2 linked regions of the Oryctolagus cuniculus genome follow. The protein of the gene in region 2 interacts with the protein of the main gene of each other region in a biochemical or structural test. Links are inferred from orthologs where the notes say so. Each region holds a gene or a part of one and is shown on either strand. Other genes may lie near its edges. The genes, in order: EIF4B and PRKN.

The links.
Region 1: of the proteins of PRKN (region 2) and EIF4B, one has a biochemical effect on the other in vitro, tested with the Homo sapiens proteins (2 studies listed by BioGRID). The link is inferred for Oryctolagus cuniculus from reciprocal best matches to the Homo sapiens genes PRKN and EIF4B.

Annotation. Positions count from the first base shown.
Region 1 is NC_091442.1:56,100,734-56,104,545, reverse strand, and holds part of EIF4B (eukaryotic translation initiation factor 4B), read right to left. Parts: intron 2,058-3,812; coding exon 1,945-2,057; intron 532-1,944; coding exon 318-531; intron 1-317. UniProt on the Homo sapiens protein: Required for the binding of mRNA to ribosomes. Functions in close association with EIF4-F and EIF4-A. Binds near the 5'-terminal cap of mRNA in presence of EIF-4F and ATP.
Region 2 is NC_091436.1:6,462,964-6,466,775, reverse strand, and holds part of PRKN (E3 ubiquitin-protein ligase parkin), read right to left. Parts: intron 2,671-3,812; coding exon 2,430-2,670; intron 1-2,429. UniProt on the Homo sapiens protein: Functions within a multiprotein E3 ubiquitin ligase complex, catalyzing the covalent attachment of ubiquitin moieties onto substrate proteins. Substrates include SYT11 and VDAC1.

The sequences.
Region 1 (3,812 bases), on a different chromosome or scaffold from region 2:
GGGCAGTGCGAGGCTTGGAGGTTCGAGCCTCAGAAGCGAGGTGGCTCCAGGTACATGCTGCCATGCGGCAGAGCTGGGCAGAGCCTGGTTTACAGTGCCCGCCACGCCCATCGTAGCTAACGTCAAGTCATCCAAGGGATGCCAACCAGCTACCCAAAAGCAGAAAACCGAGCACTGGCTCTCCGAGCCAGCTCCAGCACACAACTAACTGTAACGGAGAGAGTGAGGCCGGCGCGTCGCGACACCGGCCGCACCCCGCAGGCATTTTCCATCACGAGATCCCATATTCAGACTCTGCGGCTTGCGAGCTGACTCACCTGGTCGGGGACTGCTGCTCTGTGTCTGAGCTCTGGGACCGAGCAGGAGGGTTAGAACTTCGCTTCACCCAAGCATTCTCCTTTGGTGGAGGGGCTGGCATTACCTTTAGAGGCTGATCGGGTTTGGGAGGCTTAGAAGTTGGAGAGTGACAGTCCTCCTCCTTACTGAGGGTCTCGTTGTCTAGAGACTTCTCACTCTCTCTCCTCCGCGCATCTGTGGGGGCAGAGTGGAGGTCAGCGTGGAGGCTGTGGGGGTGGCACAACCTGCACAAGCCCCTGTCCCCCATGTCAGCGGCATGGAAAACGCTCCACAGCTGAGTTTAGCAGCTCCCGTCGTCATGAAAGACACCAACCGGGTGCCCGGTGGATGGATCCCTGCAGCAGTGTCAAACAGCGTCTTCACCAAAGCGCCTACCGGTGTGCAGAGAACACGGGAAAACACCCGGGGGCAGCGCGCAGCCATGTGCCAGGGCGTTGGCGGCTCCCAACTCCAGTTCTCACTGCTCGGCCCACTCGGGCTCAGCACTCTCACACACACACTAGGACGTGGCCACGCGCACACACTCATGAAAACCGATGTGCACTTATTTTTTTAAAAGGGCACCAAAAGTTTCCTTAAAGCCCAGAACCTGTTTGTCATGATCTTTCCACGTTTGTAAGCGCCAGCTCTACAGACGTAGTTACAGGATCAGCTCAACACTCTCGAACACTTTCCCTTTGCTACAAAGTCCCTAGGTACCACATGCAGTTCTGTGTTTTGTTTTTTTTTTTTGACAGGCAGAGTTAGACAGAGAGAGAGAGAGACAGAGAGAAAAGTCTTCCTCCCGTTGGTTCACCCTCCAATGGCCGCTAAAGCTGGCGCGCTGCGGCCGGCACACCACGCTGATCCGAAGCCAGGAGCCAGGTGCTTCTCCTGGTCTCTCATGCGGGTGCAGGGCCCAAGGACCTGAGCCGTCCTCCACTGCACTCCCGGGCCACAGCAGAGAGCTGGCCTGGAAGAGGGGCAACCGGGACAGAATCTGGCGCCCCGACTGGGACTAGAACCTGGGGTGCCGGCACCGCAGGCGGGGGATTAGCCTAGTGAGCCGCAGCGCCGGCTCCACATGCAGTACCTGCAAACTCCAGCAAACTACAATACCTGGAGGAATCTCCAAATTGCTTCAGCCTTGAGCTGTGTTTTGAAACGCTTAAGTACCAAACAGTTCAGAGACAGGAAAGGAGGGTTAAAGACTGGATCTTGGTAAGGGAAGGGGGAGCAGCACTGAACCAGCCAGGTCTCCAACACTACAGGTACACGTGACCCACCAGACACCAGTGAGGAAGGAAGACACACACACCATGACCAAAGGCTGGTCCAGGGGCAGCTCACCCAGCACTCCAGGCCCAGGGACTGCTCAGGGTCACAAAACTGCTGACACAAAGACCGACGATGACGGGACAAGGTAAACGGTCAAGTAGGCTCCAAACCCATCGTTTACCTCTATCCTGGTGCCCATTCCTCAGATTTCCCAGCAGGAGATGCTAAACTCCCATCAGTCCATGCTAACCCAAACAGAGTGCCCGCCGATCTAGCACTGCCAGACCGCTGTGTGACTTGGGGACAGGCAGTGGCAGTGACGATACCCACCCTGGTCTGACTTACTTCTGCCAGAAGCGGCTGCAGTCCCAGTCTGCGATGACTCACTTCCTGTCCTTGACCGCTCGCGTTCCTGAGTTTCTTCACTTCGCCAGCTTGGGTGTCTGCACAGAAGTGACGGCACAAAACACATCATTATGTCCTGTCAAACAAGGTCACCCTGGACCCGTGCTGAGCCTCGAGAACCATCACCCATCATCATCAGACGATACTTGCTCTATCCATGGGTGCGTGTGTGTGCATGCAGGCACGGGTTCTGTTCCCTCACATGATTTGAGAGTCACAGATACTCAGACACAGCTTGGGCTCTAAATCCCGCAAGAATCAGTTATTTTTATTTATTTATTTATTTTGACAGGCAGAGTTAGACAGTGAGAGAGAGACAGAGAGAAAGGACTTCCTTCCGTTGGTTCACCCCCCAAATGGCTGTTATGGCTGGCGTGCAGCGCTGATCCGAAGCCAGGAGCCAGGTGCTTCTCCTGGTCTCCCATGGGGTGCAGGGCCCAAGCACTTGGGCCATCCTCCACTGTACTCCCAAGCCACAGCAGAGAGCTGGACTGGAAGAGGAACGACTGGGACAGAATCCAGTGCCCCAACCGGGACTAGAACCCGGTGTGCCGGCGCCGCAGGCGGAGGGTTAGCCTATTGAGCCACGGCGCCGGCCAAGAATCAGTTATTAAAGAGCATCCTCCTCCAGGGCTGGCGCTTGGTGGAGTGCTTCCGACGCAGCCTGGGAGGCCTGCGTTCTGTACTGGAAGCCTGTGCTGGAGTCCTGGCTCCGCTTGATTCCAGCTTCCTCCTACGTCTACCCGGGGGGGGGGGGGGGGGGGGCGGGGCGGGGGAAGACGTGGTGGCTCAAGTGGCTGGGTCTCTGCATTAATGCAGGAGGCTTGATCAATGTCCCCGCTCCCAGCTTTGATCAACTGATGGGAGATCTCTCTGCCTTTCAAATACATTTAAGAAAATATTCTCTCACACAATCTATGCTGCACTTCTCTACTGTTAATCCTGTAAGCCATTTGTAACTAGCCTGGTTCTTCAGAACCATCAACTTACTTCTTAAAACTTATTTATTTACTTTGAAAGGCAGAGGACAGAGACAGAGAAGCAATGATGTTCCATCTGCCAGTCCACTTCCTGGATGCTGTGACGGCTGGGGCGCAACAGGTGCCAAACCACGAGCTAGGAATCCAGTCTGGGTCTCCCACGTGGGTGGCAGGAGCCTAATCCTTGAGCCACTTAACTCAGGCACTTTCACGTGGCGTGGCACCCCAAATGGCACCTTCATCACTATGCCAGATGTCCAGCCCCAGAACATTAGAATTTTTTTTTTTTTTGGCCAGGCAGAGTGGACAGTGAGAGAAACAGAGAGAAAGGTCTTCCTTTTGCCGTTGGTTCACCCTCCAATGGCTGCCGCAGCCGGCGCACCACGCTGATCCGATGGCAGGATCCAGGTACTTCTCCTGGTCTCCCATGGGGTGCAGGGCCCAAGCACCTGGGCCATCCTCCACTGCACTCCCTGGCCACAGAAGAGAGCTGGCCTGGAAGAGGGGCAACCAGGACAGAATCCGGCGCCCCGACTGGGACTAGAACCCGGTGTGCCGGCGCCGCAAGGCGGAGGATTAGCCTAGTGAGCCGCGGCGCCGGCCACATTAGAATTTTTTAAAGAGTCTTTATGCTAGTAAATACGTGACTTTTTAATACTAAGTAAATAAAAATAAATGATGATTTATTTGAAAGGCAGAAGAGAGGGAGAGAGAAAAAGATCTTTCATTTGCTGGTTCACTCCCCAAATAGCAGCAACAGCCAGGTATGGGCCAGGCTGAATGCAAGGGCAGGAACTTCACCGGTGGTGGCAG
Region 2 (3,812 bases):
TGCTTTATTCTCCCACATTTGAAGGAGCCAAGCTTCCAGTTTATGTTCACTTTCATGTGTAGGGGAGAAAATGATACATTTTCCCACCAACCCTGGTAGTTTTTATCTAGAACTCCAGGTAAAGAAGTCAGACTAACCACAACAAAACAGAAGTTTATTAACACATTTAACTCATGTAATTATGGAAGGTATTCAGGTAAAATGAGTAAATATCAAAGAGGTGGCCTTGAATTCAGGTTTCAGTACCATCTTTAGCAAAGGACAAAAGAGAGAAGGGTGTGGGAGGAGCCAGTTAATGGGGATGTGGCTGAGAAAGTACAGCCAACAAGTGCGTAGGGCAGGTTTAGGGCATTGCCTTCTCTGAAGAGAAGTCTCTAGGGACTCAGAGCTCCTCTCCCTGGGCTGACCTGAGACACCCTTGCAGAGGGAGCCCTCCTTCACAGATGTGATCCTCCCTGACAAAACGTGACTTTCTGCTTTTGTAGAGATTCCCCTGTGTTTGCTCTTACTCAAGGCACTCATCTCAAAGCCATCCTTAATGTTACAAAGGCCTATTTCAGGATGATGTATTTTGATATTTAGCGGTAGCATATTCTGGCCTCCTATATGCTCAAGGTGGGGTTTTCCTTGCTTGATTTGCAGTGTTGGGATCATGAATGCCCTTTAGTAAGGTTTGCTTCTCTCAGGAGGCATCCATGCCAGGACATCTAAGTGGGCTCTTGGGAGTCATCCCACATGTGCCTTGCTTGAAATATCAGATGTGTTTTCAGCCTCTATCCAATAATTAAATTCATTTCTTATCTTGGATTACATAGGTATTGCATAGATTTCTGTTTATCTAACTTTCCCCATTTTGCTATTTGCTACATTATTTCCATTTCTCAGGTCTTCTTTCAGTACCCTAGGTGCCCAGTACACCTGAAGCAGAACCTCCCTCCTCTCTGTAACCTAACCAAGACCACTAGAACATCATCAGCTCAAGTTCCTAAATTCTGGGTTAATTCATTTTTCTATTTGAAGATAGTTGTGTTATTTCTACTCATTCACTTGTGCCTGGAAATTCTGTGTTGTTTTGAGCAAGTTCATCTATGATTTCAAAAATTGATTAAATTCAATTTAGTGATTTTAGGAGTGGGGGCAGGATAGAGGGAGGGCTGGCTTAGTGAGGCAGGGTAGATAAGTAACTGGCTTAGGGTGGATGCCCCATGCCAGACATTAATGTTGTCACAACCATCTGTTGATAAGAAACAGGCCCTGATCATCAATGATTAAGCAGCCAGACCCCAATCACCTCCTTGCACTACACAGGCAAACAAAAAAGGTTTTAACCAGATTGGGGGGCCATCTTGAACACTGACAAGTCTATGCTTCCTTCCAGTGGTCACAGACACCCTGTGGGAGGCTGGAGATGGTAATGAAGCTTCAGTATGAGGTAGACCATGTTATCCCAACCGCACCTGCGCCAACAGAGACCCACCCTGGATATGGTAAAATCTGCCCCCCTTCTGTAAATGGTATAATCCAAGGTGGGAAAACCTCATCAAAGAATCTGCCTCAGCCCCTCGAGCACAGCATCGTCTTGAGCTCACACTCACTCTTCAAGGGTGGACGGTGGCTCCGCCAGCAGATCCTTTCCTCCAACTGGTGTTGGTGAGTGTCCCACCACTGAATTCTTTCCTGTCTGGGTGACAAGAAACTGGACCCATCAACCCCTACTATTTGTAGGAGGCATTTCCTTCTATTTTATGCTTTCGTCCTGCTGGTCCCAGATCTCCCTGGCCCTGTGAAACCCGTACTAGCCCAGGACTGCCTATGTCCTGACCTAGTGCAGATGGGAGGGACATCACCTTCTACCCCATGAAGTCTTTGTTACTATTTTGTATAGTCTGTCAAACACACTCATGGTCAAAATTAATCTTGGTGTTCTTTTGACAATTTGGCTCGGAGAATAAAAGAGTAGGGCAACATATCAATATTGTCAAAATAACAGAGGAATAGCTCCCTTCCTTACCAAAGAAAAGCACTGTAAAGCAGGTTAGAGCAGAGACAGGAAGGACTCCTTCAGAGAAAGGCTTTCACCGATATCACAAACTACGGCCTTAGAACCCACACAACCTAAAATGACCTCTCACTTTCTCTGCCTGCTTTTTAAAGCTTCTCTACATCAACAGAAACATAATCAATCGAAATGTACTTCAAGAAAACTAAATCCTATTATCATGGTCCCGACACCTCCCATCCATCTCCTGACATCCCTCATATTCCATTTCATTATGGTGGCTCTGTTTGTTACACTTCTATTAAACGCATTCCTCTACCGTTGGTCTCCAAGTGCCTTCTCATGAGGCCTCCAAACGGTTTGTACACGCCAATCCAAAACTTACCACGGACTAAGTGCCCCCCAAGTGTTGGGCAGACTCTGTGATTACCTGGACTTCCAGCTGCTGCTGAGCCCCTGCTGCCATTGGCATCCAGAATAACAGCCAGCCCCACGGAGACTGCCGGCAGCATGTCGCTGCTGAGGTCCACGCGTGTTAAGCTCGCTGGCTCCCTCTGGAAGCCTCCTGAGGTCCTTCTGGGGTTGTCTCCTCCAGGCACGTTGGTCTCTGGACCTTTTCTCTGTGGTCTCTGCACAACATGAACAATGCTCTGCTGTTCCAGGTCACAGTTCTGTTGGAGCCAGGTGGAAACACACGGGGAAGGCAGCATTAAATGCATGCACAGTTTGCCTGGTCCTCGTCCCACAGTGTGCGAGACAGTCTTACACTTGGTATGCACGATTTCTATACGCAGCTGAGCAACCAGGAGTTGGGAAATGTGTGTACACACCCAGTGTCAGCACAGGCACCTGCCAGCAGTGCCAGGGTGCTTCCACACTGGGCACAGCACACACGCAACCCTGCACTGGGCCAGAAACAGAAATGTGTGTGTGGTGGAGAACATGACACCCAAAACCTAAAGAGACATTCAAAGGGATATGAAACCCCATAGGAAAAAAACGAATTACCACAATGCTTCCAGAGGCACAGTAGAAAATGATAATCTTAAATTTTAAAAACTGATTTACTTCAGAAATATGTCCTTATAATTATCTAATGTAAGGGCTGGCATTCATTTCTGTTTTATAAAAGAGCACAGAAAGTTAGCTATTGTCACCAACAGGGCATTGCTCCAAATAATTTCAAACACATTAACAATAGACCTCACACATCCCCTCTGCTGTTGCCAACAGGCACGCTTGCTTGACCAAAGGGGCAGCAAGCAGAGAACACGTGCTTGTGGACCTGGGACTCATTCACTTTTGATACCAATTTCACAAGTAACAACAGAGAACATTTCCAAAAAGGTTTTGAATCCACACGTGGGTGAAGCACAATAATACTAATCCTTAACTAGTAACAGGGGTACATTCTTCCTTCCACCTGCACCCGCCCCAGACTCCCTTGTTGTGGTCACTTTCAGAGCTTCCTGGGGTGGTGTCCATCACTCACAGGTACCCCTGCATGCACACCACTGGGCATCAGCCTCCTCCACACAGCAGCCCACCAGGATGCCTTGCAATCTAAAGTCCCATTCCCACCCCTTCCCCACTCTCACGCTCCGGCCTCTGTCAGGTTGATGGGTTGCTTGCACTGCCCCATCCTCATGGCTTCCTAGGTCTCCGCAGGATGGCTCCTGCTCAGCTGCGGTTACTTTCTGTCATTCTCTGTCCCCTAAGTCCTCCCCCTGCTGACATTCCTTCTTCAGTCCAAGCATCACTGTTCCCCACCTCACCCAGGCTTCAGGCCCTCTCCTCCCAACTAAACGTCTGA